Linked DNA regions of Canis lupus familiaris. The protein of the gene in region 2 interacts with the protein of the main gene of each other region in a pairwise test. Links are inferred from orthologs where the notes say so. Each region holds a gene or a part of one and is shown on either strand. Other genes may lie near its edges.

What was found.
Region 1: the proteins of NUP50 (region 2) and KPNA6 interact in binary tests that used the Homo sapiens proteins (3 or more experiments, as listed by UniProt). The two-hybrid records come from large-scale screens. The link is inferred for Canis lupus familiaris from reciprocal best matches to the Homo sapiens genes NUP50 and KPNA6.
Region 3: the proteins of NUP50 (region 2) and KPNA2 interact in binary tests that used the Homo sapiens proteins (3 or more experiments, as listed by UniProt). The two-hybrid records come from large-scale screens. The link is inferred for Canis lupus familiaris from reciprocal best matches to the Homo sapiens genes NUP50 and KPNA2.

Annotation. Positions count from the first base shown.
Region 1 is NC_049223.1:68,434,414-68,438,065, reverse strand, and holds part of KPNA6 (importin subunit alpha-7), read left to right. Parts: intron 1-460; coding exon 461-592; intron 593-1,819; coding exon 1,820-1,908; intron 1,909-3,399; coding exon 3,400-3,499; intron 3,500-3,652. UniProt on the Homo sapiens protein: Functions in nuclear protein import as an adapter protein for nuclear receptor KPNB1. Binds specifically and directly to substrates containing either a simple or bipartite NLS motif.
Region 2 is NC_049231.1:21,781,649-21,785,300, forward strand, and holds part of NUP50 (nuclear pore complex protein Nup50), read right to left. Parts: intron 2,977-3,652; coding exon 2,895-2,976; intron 1,326-2,894; coding exon 1,207-1,325; intron 206-1,206; coding exon 3-205; 3' UTR 1-2. UniProt on the Homo sapiens protein: Component of the nuclear pore complex that has a direct role in nuclear protein import. Actively displaces NLSs from importin-alpha, and facilitates disassembly of the importin-alpha:beta-cargo complex and importin recycling.
Region 3 is NC_049230.1:14,372,297-14,375,824, reverse strand, and holds part of KPNA2 (importin subunit alpha-1), read right to left. Parts: intron 3,040-3,528; coding exon 2,951-3,039; intron 2,159-2,950; coding exon 1,890-2,158; intron 1,429-1,889; coding exon 1,334-1,428; intron 1,237-1,333; coding exon 973-1,236; intron 779-972; coding exon 545-778; intron 286-544; coding exon 103-285; intron 1-102.

The DNA.
Region 1 (3,652 bases), on a different chromosome or scaffold from region 2:
GGGGCAAAGGCAGGTGCTTAACCACTGAGCATCCCAGGCATCCCTTTTTTTAAAAATTTGTTTTTAAATAAAGATTTTTATTTGTAAGTAATCACTTAAGTGTAGTGATTACTCACAACCCCAAGATCAAGAATTGCATGCTCCACTGACTGAAACCAGCCAGGTGCCCCTGCTTTTTGCTATTTAAAAAGTAAGAGGAAGTAGTTCCTGTGTGGTGGCTCAGTCATTTGAGAATCCAACTCTGTCTCAACTCAGGTCTTGATCTCAGAGTCGTAAGTTCAAGCCCTGCATTAGGCTCCATGCTGGATATGGAGGCTACTTAAGATAAAAATAAGGGGGAAGAGGAAAAGGCTCATATTTTAGTTTTTTGGTCAGGGGCAAGAGGCTTACAGCTCTCAACCAGCTGCAGACATGGCCACTCTGGAATGATCTCTGAATAGCGGTCTGATCTCACTTGCAGTTTGAAGCTGCCTGGGCTCTAACGAACATTGCCTCTGGAACCTCTCAGCAGACGAAGATTGTCATTGAAGCAGGGGCAGTCCCCATTTTTATAGAGCTGCTTAACTCGGACTTTGAGGATGTACAGGAACAGGTAACGCCCAAATTTGGCTTAATTCCTGATGGTACCTATATTATAATTTTAAAAAGTTTGGTTTTTGTACCCAGTTCCTAAAAACTACTAAAAACCTTGGAATTTTCTGAGTGAAGAGTGTGTTTTTTATTATTTATGATGGAACACACCTAATGAGATGATTGAGTGGGGCCCCTAGGCAACCTCAACATGAGGAGAGTAGTTATCAGAACTCCCAGCTCTACCAATGCCTCTATCCCAGCCTCCTGCAGAGAAATTCTGGGTTGGTGAACACATTGGTGTGGTGCCCTAGAGAGGGGATGGAAGTTCCATACCGCCCTGACTGCTCACCCCATACCTTGCCCTATGCATCTCTTCCATTTAGCTCTTCTGAGCTGTATCCATTAGAGTAAGCTAGTAAATGTAAGCAGTTTTTCCCTGAGTTCTGTGAATCATTCTAGTGAATTACTGAACCTAAGAAGGGAATTATGGGAACTTTTGAATTTATAGCCAGTTGGTCAGAAGCATGGCAACACTTGGGAATTGCAACTGGTGTCTTTTTTTGTTTGTTTGTTTTTTGTTTTTTTTGCAACTGGTGTCTGAAGTGGAGACAGTCTCATGGGCCTGAGCCCTTAACCTGTAGGGTCTGCACTAAGTCTAAGAGTGTCACAATTGAGTTGGATTGTTGGACATACAAATGGTGTTGGAGAATTGATTGCTGGTGTAGAAAAAAACTCCACATATTTGGCATCAGAGGTGGTATTGGGGGGAAAAAAACAAAAACATCACAGTACCCATTTATCAGTACCTAGATATCACAGTGATTAAGACAACTTAATTTCTTCCAGTGGATTTTTACTGATTGGATAGAATGTAGAACGTGGCGCCTAGATTTTTTTTTTTTCCTCACTTACTACATATAGGATAGATCCTGTGAGGCTGCAGGAATGCAACTTCTCACTTTCTCTTTTTTCTGGGAAGTAGGCATAGGGAGGTCTTGGTTTGGCTTCTTTGGCTGCAGTACGGATGTCAGCCTGTCTTTCCCACTAAATCAGAAATTCTCCGAGGAAAGACCTTCATAGAGCAAGCTCAGTAAGGACGTCAGCAAAGAGAGGACCTGATCCTGTTCAGGATATCTCAGGCCTCGATATGGTTTTTGTCTAAGTTATTGGTGTGTCCTCACTCTTGTATAAAATATGGACAGAAGCCATTTGTCTCTGCATGACAGTTCCATCATCCCCTTTTCAGGCAGTCTGGGCACTGGGAAACATAGCTGGAGACAGCTCCGTTTGCCGAGATTACGTCTTGAACTGTTCCATCCTTAATCCTTTGTTAACGTGAGTAATTATGATCATCTATACCTGGGACATCATCTATAAGGCAGCCATGTGGTAGATCCTTTGGGGGCAGCTTACCTTAAGATGTTAAGTAAATGCAAAAAAACACTAAAAGTATTTCTTTTTGAGAGTAAGAAGATTGTGCCACTGGTCTGTGCCAAGGAGGAGCTTCTGTTTCCTTTCTTCATTGCACAGTAGATTCTCATGTTGGTCATACTTACTTGCCTCATTGTTGAGCCAGGAGAGAGAGGCAAGACTAACCCATATAGAAAAATGCAACTTTCTCTACAGATGCATTAATTTGTTATTTTATGCCTAGGTACATTGGAGAGCTCTGTTGTAAACCACAGATTAAAGACACCATGAAAGGACATAGGGGGATCCCTGGGTGGCGCAGCGGTTTAGCGCCTGCCTTTGGCCCAGGGCACGGTCCTGGAGACCCGGGATCGAATCCCACATCGGGCTCCTGGTGCATGGAGCCTGCTTCTCCCTCTGCCTATGTCTCTGCCTCTCTCTCTCTGTGACTATCATTAAAAAAAAAAAAAAAAAAGACATAGGGATCCTTCTCCAATCCCTCCCTCCCATACCCTTCAAATAGAGTATCTAAACAATAGATGGGATAAGCTGTTCTTTTTTTTTTTTTTTAAGATTTATTTATTTATTCATTAAGAGAGAGCGAGAGAGAGGCAGAGACACAGGCAGAGGGAGTAGCAGGCTCCATGCAGGAAGCCCGATGTGGGACTCGATCCAGGGTCTCCAGGATCATACTCCGGGCTGCAGGGGGCGCTAAACCGCTGCGCCACCAGGGCTGCCCAGGGATGAGCTGTTCTTCAGAGACTACCACTATAACTCTTTCTTGGGCCTTTCACAGAAAGTCATTGCTTACTGCATGGCTAAAGCCCTTATACTAGATATTCAGCATTGATTTCCAAAGAGAACAGTATACTCGTCGTTTAAAACTTGTGGCCATTTAGGGGGATCCCTGGGTGGCGCAGCGGTTTGGCGCCTGCCTTTGGCCCAGGGCACGATCCTGGAGACCCGGGATCGAATCCCACGTCGGGCTTCCGGTGCATGGAGCCTGCTTCTCCCTCTGTCTGTGTCTCTGCCTCTCTCTCTTTCTCTCTCTGTGACTATCATAAATAAATAAACATTAAAAAAAAAAAAAAAAAAAAAAAAAACTTGTGGCCATTTAGGAGCACAATATGCCCTATCTTAAAAAGGTTTGCAGTCTTACTCAACTTCCAGCTTGCTCTTTGTCCTTACAAGCTATGGTCCTAACTAGCCACAGCTGGTTCTAATCCTCTGTGAAGGTGTAGATTGGCCTCTTGGCCCAAACAAGCTTAGTTTACTTAGGTCTGTGGGTAGAAGAACACAGTGAGGCTGCCAGAGTCTTAGGGGTCTTACTGGATTTGCTCCTGGGGTTCATAGGTGACAGCCCCATGCCAAGGTCATCATTGCTCAGGATCTGTCTGGCTTTGCTGTTTCCTTCAGACTCCTTACTAAGTCCACAAGACTGACAATGACACGGAATGCAGTCTGGGCTCTATCAAACCTCTGCAGAGGAAAGAACCCACCCCCAGAGTTTGCAAAGGTGAGAGAGTTTCTTAACAGTTTCTGAATGAAAGCAGTTTCCTTCACATGCAAGCATTTTGATAGGGAACTTTCAAGTCTTTGGGGGGAACCCCTTAGGGTTTCAATCCATGGGAAATTGAAAGAGGCAATTGTCAGTGAAGTAGGTGATCTT
Region 2 (3,652 bases):
GCTCAGGCATCCTTTTTCTCCAGTAAAATTTTGTGCAACTCGTCCGCATCCTCGCCCGTTTTTACCCGGATTAACATGGTGACTGGGGCGGCGGCATTCTTCTCATCGATGGGCGGATTTGGAACGCACACGATGAGGACGTTGTTCTTCCCTGTCCGGGTACATGGCATGTTGGGTGGAATCAGGACATTCAGCAGTATGTTGCCTACATCCAAACAAAGGGGAAAGTACATGAGAATCACGTAAACCGCACGAAAGGTCCACGACCGCAGCTTCACGTGCTCCACATAAAATCCAGAAACCTACGCTGAATGGACCCAGGACCAGAGCCATCAGCAGGGTGGTGAAGAGGGGGATGGGTGCCCTGCCGCACACGCCAGCACTATGTCCCTCAGAGAGGGCCAAGGCCTCACCCTGGAGCCACCGTCCTCTCCCACCCTCCCGTGTGCCGTCGCAGCAGCCAGCCCTGTCTGAGGTGTCCATTCTCGCAGTAAAGGAGGAACACGTTAGCACGACCTGGAGCCTCACCAGGTCATTGGAACAAATGCAGAGTGGTTAGTGACAAAACCTCTCTGTTGCAGAGCCAGCACGGCTGACTGGGTAAGAGCGCCATCACGGTGACAGCATCACCCACGAGTCAAGCCCACAGGTAAGAAAAGCGCTGCCCAGAAGTTTCTGCAACCCTGCCAGCAGGACCTAGTGTCACCCATCACTTCCTCTTCAACCCACCCTGGCCCCCAGCCCCAGCTCCTCCAGGCACCCCGACCCTGCTTCCAGTGGGTTGTTCTCAGGGTGAGGCTGGGGCGAAGGGGAGCCCGCAATGTGTTCATGGTCATTTCCTACACAAAGCAGATTCCTTTAAATGGTTAATTCCCCTTCTGTGTTTATTAAACCATCCAATTTACCTATAGCTTCCTAGTCACATTTCTAACACAAAGTAAAACAAAAACCTGGTTACAAAGTAAAACAAAAACCATCCTGGTTACTTCTTTTAACACATCTACATTTTCTTACACACTGTTACGCTGGCACTCAATTAAGTCGTAAATAATCAGTAAATACAGGATGGATTTGATCTGAATGACTGCTATTCTATCCCCCAAAGCACATCAATATCTGAAAATCCCAATGACCAGAATCAGCAAGGGCTTTTACATACCATGTAGTTAGCGTTATCTTGTGCCACCTGAGAAACAAGATACCCACCTAAATTGGTGTCCGCCCGCACTAACAGTTGTGTCTTCTGATTCGCTGTAGGTTTTAAATGCAAAGTACCCACACCTTTCTCTTTAAATTCGTTGTCTTTCTTGTAAAAGAGTTTACACCTACGGAGAAAAAGAAGAGAGGCCATCAGATACTCAACAGACAAGTTTTCTAAGAATCGCTGTTCACATTGAGAGGAAATCTTTGATTCAGACTGAGTCTGGGTACAAACCAGAAGAAGAAAGTCTGGTTATATATTCTAGGACCCCTGCCTATTTCTCCCAACTTAAAAAAAAAAAACACTTTCTGAAGCCACCTATTCTCAATTCAGTCACAACCACAGCTGAACACCCTAACCTTTCTGATGTGCCCCTTTGGCCCTGAGCTCAAGAGGCTGACCTGAACAAACACAGGACCCTCTGCCCCGTATCTCTCTTCCCCTTTTTCCTATTTATTTTTGAATTTTCTTTAGGACTCCTCCAATTTTTGATCTACCAAAATACTGAAAATTTTGGAAAACTCTCATGGGCAAGGCCTGACAATAATATTATCAAAAATCTCCCCAGCTGTGTCGCGCATCCCCTTAGGTTGTTAATACACCAAGTAAAACCACTGTCTGCTCCTTTAATTTATTCTAATTAGGAAAAAAATCTTAAGTCAGAGTCACTCCTTTATGTCACCTGCATAATTAAATTTAAAGAGCAAAAGGAGGGCAGCCCGGGTGGCTCAGCAGTTTATCACCACCTTCAGCCCAGGGTGTGATCCTGGGCTGAAGGTGGTGAACCCGGGGTTGAGTCCCACGTCGGGCTCCCTGCATGGAGCCTGCTTCTCCCTCTGCCTGTGTCTCTGCCTCTCTCTCTCTGTCTCCCTCATGAATAAAATCTTAAAAAAAAAAAACAAAAAAAAAACAAAAAAAACAAAAACAACACCAAAGGAACTGTTGGATTCCTAGAAGTTCTCAGAAAGAATTACACTTGGGAATTCCATAGGCTATGGTGATTGTTATGAACACTGCTGACTCTGAAATTTCTGTATTTAGGAAAATACATTCAGGGAAGCTTCTAAAATGACACAATTGACTCTTTAAATACGTTTGTTAAAAAGTACTAATTTCATTTCAATGGGATGAGATAATTCAAAATTTCTCCTTAGCTTTCTTCTGAAAGCGACAGCTCTCATATAAGAACAAGAATAAACACAGAACCAAAACCACTCTCATCACGGGGTTGTGGGGGGGACAAAGGGCCTATCAGTATGCAGAACTTTTTGGCTGAGAAAACCCACAAAAGCCAAACAGACCTCCAAGAGGGAGATGATGCCTCCCGAGGAGGAGCAGTAAAAGTAAAAAAGCAAAGGTGAAGCCAACGACGAGGAGACTTTGTACAGGAAGGAGATGGGGTTGGATGGTCAAAGAAAAGCCTGTCTCTAAAGGACTGTAGAAGCCAAGAAAAAACAGAAATACTAGAAAAGAGTAGAAATGCCTAGCAGAAAACTTCTAGAATCTGTTTGTTTTCAAATGAAGGGTCAAGATTTCTCCCTCGGTCCTATCCCAAGAGCAGGCACAGGCTGATCCCTGGAGCCCCTGGGACAGGATGCTCAGCAATTTCTGTGGGGATGAGGTCACCCTGGAAGCCACCTTCCCCATCTCTGAACACACGCTCACCACGTAAGTCCCCAGGACTCTTACTCACTTTTTGGAGTAAAAAGCATCTTCTTCTTTTACTTCAGTAACTACTACTTTAGGTGGCTCATCATTCTCTTCTTCATCTCCGCCTTTTATAAAAACGACACTAATTCAGTAAAATTCAAATCAACATCTTTAAAATGCTAACAAAAGAAGTCATCCATCCCCCAACGCCTCAACCTAAATTTTCCCTATAAGCAGGTACAGAAATTGAACACACACACATCTAATGGGGGTGGGAGGAAGGGGGCTCACTGGATTTTATTTTGTGAAAAATCAAAATGACTTTTAATGGGAACATACTTCTCTCTCCTACATGTTAATTTGTAGAAAGCCCTGGAATAAAATATTGTCGATGCTCATGATTCAGTGCACAAATTTTAACAGAAAAATCAACACCCACATATACTCAAGATCTCCCACAGAAAATGAAAATCTCAGGCTTCTAATACCTTTGTCCCCAAATTCTCACATGACCCTGTGTGTGTCATACTAAGGAATGATCAGTATCAGCAATGGCCAAACAAGAGGAAGACAATAAAACTGTTAATGGGGCAGGTTGTCAGAGAAACCAGCCCCAAGAGTGAGCAAACTGCCTCTGCGTGGCCCCACCTTGAGAGGCTCGGTACTGGGTGCCCTCCCTGACGGAGTCCCAGCCCCAGCCCGAGCCCCAGCCCAGGGGAGATCCAAGACATTGATGCAAACTAGCCTCCAGAGAGACGGTCTCAGGACACACACTAGATCAAACAGCAAATCTCAGAAAAA
Region 3 (3,528 bases), on a different chromosome or scaffold from region 2:
TCTAATTCTGTGGCCTACTGAGCAAACTTAGCTGCCCTCCCGTGGGTTAAAATATCATCCATTACCATCAAGGCCAAGTTCAAATGCTACCTTATAACTTACCTGAAAGATGTTTGAAATGGCATCTAGAATAACCAGAATAATTTTGGTATCTTTTGCAGTTAAGAGGTTCATCAATGGTTCTATTATGCCACAATGAACGAGGTATACAATCTGTTCAACTGTTCCACCACTTGTATAGTTGGTCACAGCCCATACAGCTTCCTTTTGTGTCTTAAAGTCTGCCTAATAAGCATAAGGAAACAAGTTTAATTCAGAACAATTGTAAAAATAGGATCCCAAAAGTATGGTTATAGAAAAACAACTCTAACTACCAACAGATTCCATCTAATCTTAAGTGAAGGAGGTTACTGGCCACTATTTAGCAAAAGGACTCTAGGTAGAATCCAATATTGGCACATTAAGAATCTTATCAAGCACAGCTCTACCAAATGTCCATCCATAAATACTAACATTCTTTGACTAAATACTAAGACTTCATTACCTTAGAGAGAACACCAACGAGGAATGGGACTAATCCATGATTCACAACTTGCTGTATCTGGTCCTGGCGACCAGCTGTGATGTTTGACATCGTCCATGTAGCTTCCTTCTGAATATTAGTTTTGGGGTTCGTTAGCAGGCTAGGAAAGACAGCAAGTGCTCCTGCATCTATTACAACCTGAGTCTGTTCATCTGTCCCAGTGACAATATTTCCTATGGCTCTTAGTGCAGGAGTCTGAAAAGAAAAAGAAAAGAAAAAAAAGTTGATGCCAGTGGTTATCTTTTATTTTTTCCAGCACTGCTCAAAAACTCTATAAAGGTTCTGACAAATCAGAGGCCCATCATGGCCTAAAATAGGCAATGTCAATTGTTAGTATCAACTGACCATGCTTAAGGTTTAATATTTTTAGCTAAAAGTTAAAAACTTACCACAATGGGTAATTCAGTAGCTCCTAAAAGCTTCACAAGTTGGGGCACAACTCCTGTTTTCACAACCATTTCAATCCGTTCATTTGGACCATCAGTAAGGTAGGAAATGGCCCAGCAGGTATCTGCTAATACTTCTGGATCATCATGATGCAGGAGACGAACTAAGGTAGGAAGAATCTGCTCAACAGCATCTAACGGGGGTGCTGGATTCTTGTTGCGACAAAGGTTTGAGAGTGTCCAAGTAAGGTTACGTAAGTAACCACACTGAGGGGAAAGAAAAATGCAGTGAGAACTCCTGTGTATTTTCAGGGGGTGGGAAAAAATAAGAATCAAGAAGTAAACTAACTTATTAGTAACTTACTGCTAAAGATGACATATCAGGAACTGCAAGGAGAGCCAACAGTGGGTCAACTGCACCATACTTGATAACCAAGTCTCGAAAAACTGAACCATCACCTAAAAAAAGGCAAGGTTAATTATAACCTACTTGTCTAGCACCATCAATATTCAATGACTGAGTTCACCAGTGTCCTAACGCAAACACAATACTCTCGGAAATTCCCTAACTTACTTATATGCCATTAGCAGCCCTGATAAGCACTGGAAGCAAACAAGTTTAAATCTTAACACACAGGTCACTCTTACTTATGGACAAGGCACTTCTCCCAACCTCAGTATGATCAGAGATAGTCCAAAGAATTTTATTTATTTTTTTAAAAAGACTTTACTTATTTATTCATGAGAGACAGAAAGAGAGAGAGGCAGAGACATAGGCAGATGGAGAAGCAGGCTCAAGGCAGGGAGCCTAATGTGGGAATCGATCCTGGGAATCCAGGATCACTCCCTGGGCCAAAGGCAGGTGCTAAACCACTCAGCCACCCAGGGATCCCAGTCCAAAGAATTTTAAATCCAAGTACCTGCAATGTTTCCTAGAGCCCATACAGCTTGTTCACTGATGTGGGCATGGGAAGATGCCAACAGAGAAATGAATGCTGGGATAGCACCTCCATCGACCACAGCCTTGGTCTGTTCTGATGTCCCAGAAGCAATGTTAGTGAGGGCCCAAGCAGATTCAAACTGAATAGGACTACAATCAGTTCTGCCCAAGAAGGACACAAATTTTGGAATCAAACCAGCCCGGATTATGTTGTCTATGGGGGGCTGTTTTTCCCTAGAAAGCAGTTTCCTAAGGGTAAACAAAAAAAGAAACAAAGTTGAAAATGATTAACAAAAGTAGTTTGTGTAAAAATCAATTTAAAATGCAACTTAAGAGTTTAGAGCTAATGCACTATATGTTGACATATCCCGGAACTTAAGGGAGATGAACAGACTGGTTGCATAGTATGACCACATATGGTGTCTTTAACTACCTTTTTTCCCCCAAAATAAAATATTACCAATAATGGAAATTTGCTATTCCCCCAGAAAACTACTTTAGATCTTTTTACTTTAAAACTGACAGAATTACACTGCCATTCTTAATTTGTGTTTCCTTATCTACTAGTGAGGTTAAACATCTTTTCCTTCGTTATTTGTCACTTGGATTGTTTTTTAGTACACTGTCAAAATACAGAAATTACTCATTCTTTCTGTTAATGGATGTCACAAATATTTGTATTTGATAAAAGTTAAGAGTAAGCACACCCATGTGTTTGGGCCCATGGATGTGCCAATCCCATTTACTAAGTAATTCCTCCTTTCTCTATACCAACCTTGGTTGGTGCCACCTTGACAAAAACTGTTAATTTACTCAAAAAGTACACCAAAAGGTTAATAGCAATTATCACTGCGGGGGTGAGTAGGACTTCAGGCAATTATAGAAAAATCATACTTTCTTTCACCTAAGGGAAGATTCTAATGCAAACAGCCTTATGACCAACTTAACCTTCATTTTACTGTGCCATCTGTCTCTTTCCCATCAAAAAATCCTAAAGGGCTGATATCTTAGGTTACCCATGCTATAGCAGAAAAGACTTACCTAGCAGCTTGAGTAGCCTGGAGCTGGCTTTCCAAATTGTTGCTATTTATGCCTTTGACAATGTCATCAACAGACCAATTTACAGTGCCCTGCAAGGAGAGTGTGACTAATTTCAAATGATCTCTTTTAAGATTAAATATAAGCAATAAAATCCTTACTTGCCATTGTGAAGACATTTTTAGATTTATAATCAGGTACTAAAAGTTTAGCCTTACATTTAATTTTGGCTATCAATCAATTATTCATGGTTTTGTATGCAGAATAGTGCCAAAACTTGGTATATGACTCACTGGAATCTCCAGTTGTGGAGTATCATCCCAGCATCTCATCAGTAAAAGGAGACTGCAAACAATTTAATAAATGAAATTCAAGCAGTCTGAAGACTGGTCCTACAGTCTCAATCACTTGCATTTAGATATGCTGTTAGGAAGAAAGGGATGGAGTTATATAGGCAGTGTGCTGGAGATTTTCATATGTAAGCTTATAATCTATGCATTTCCATAGTACAGGGCTACAAAAATGTTTCATGTTGTGATCATAGTAGAATGGTTTGAGAACCAGTGCTATAGTTAGCTCAA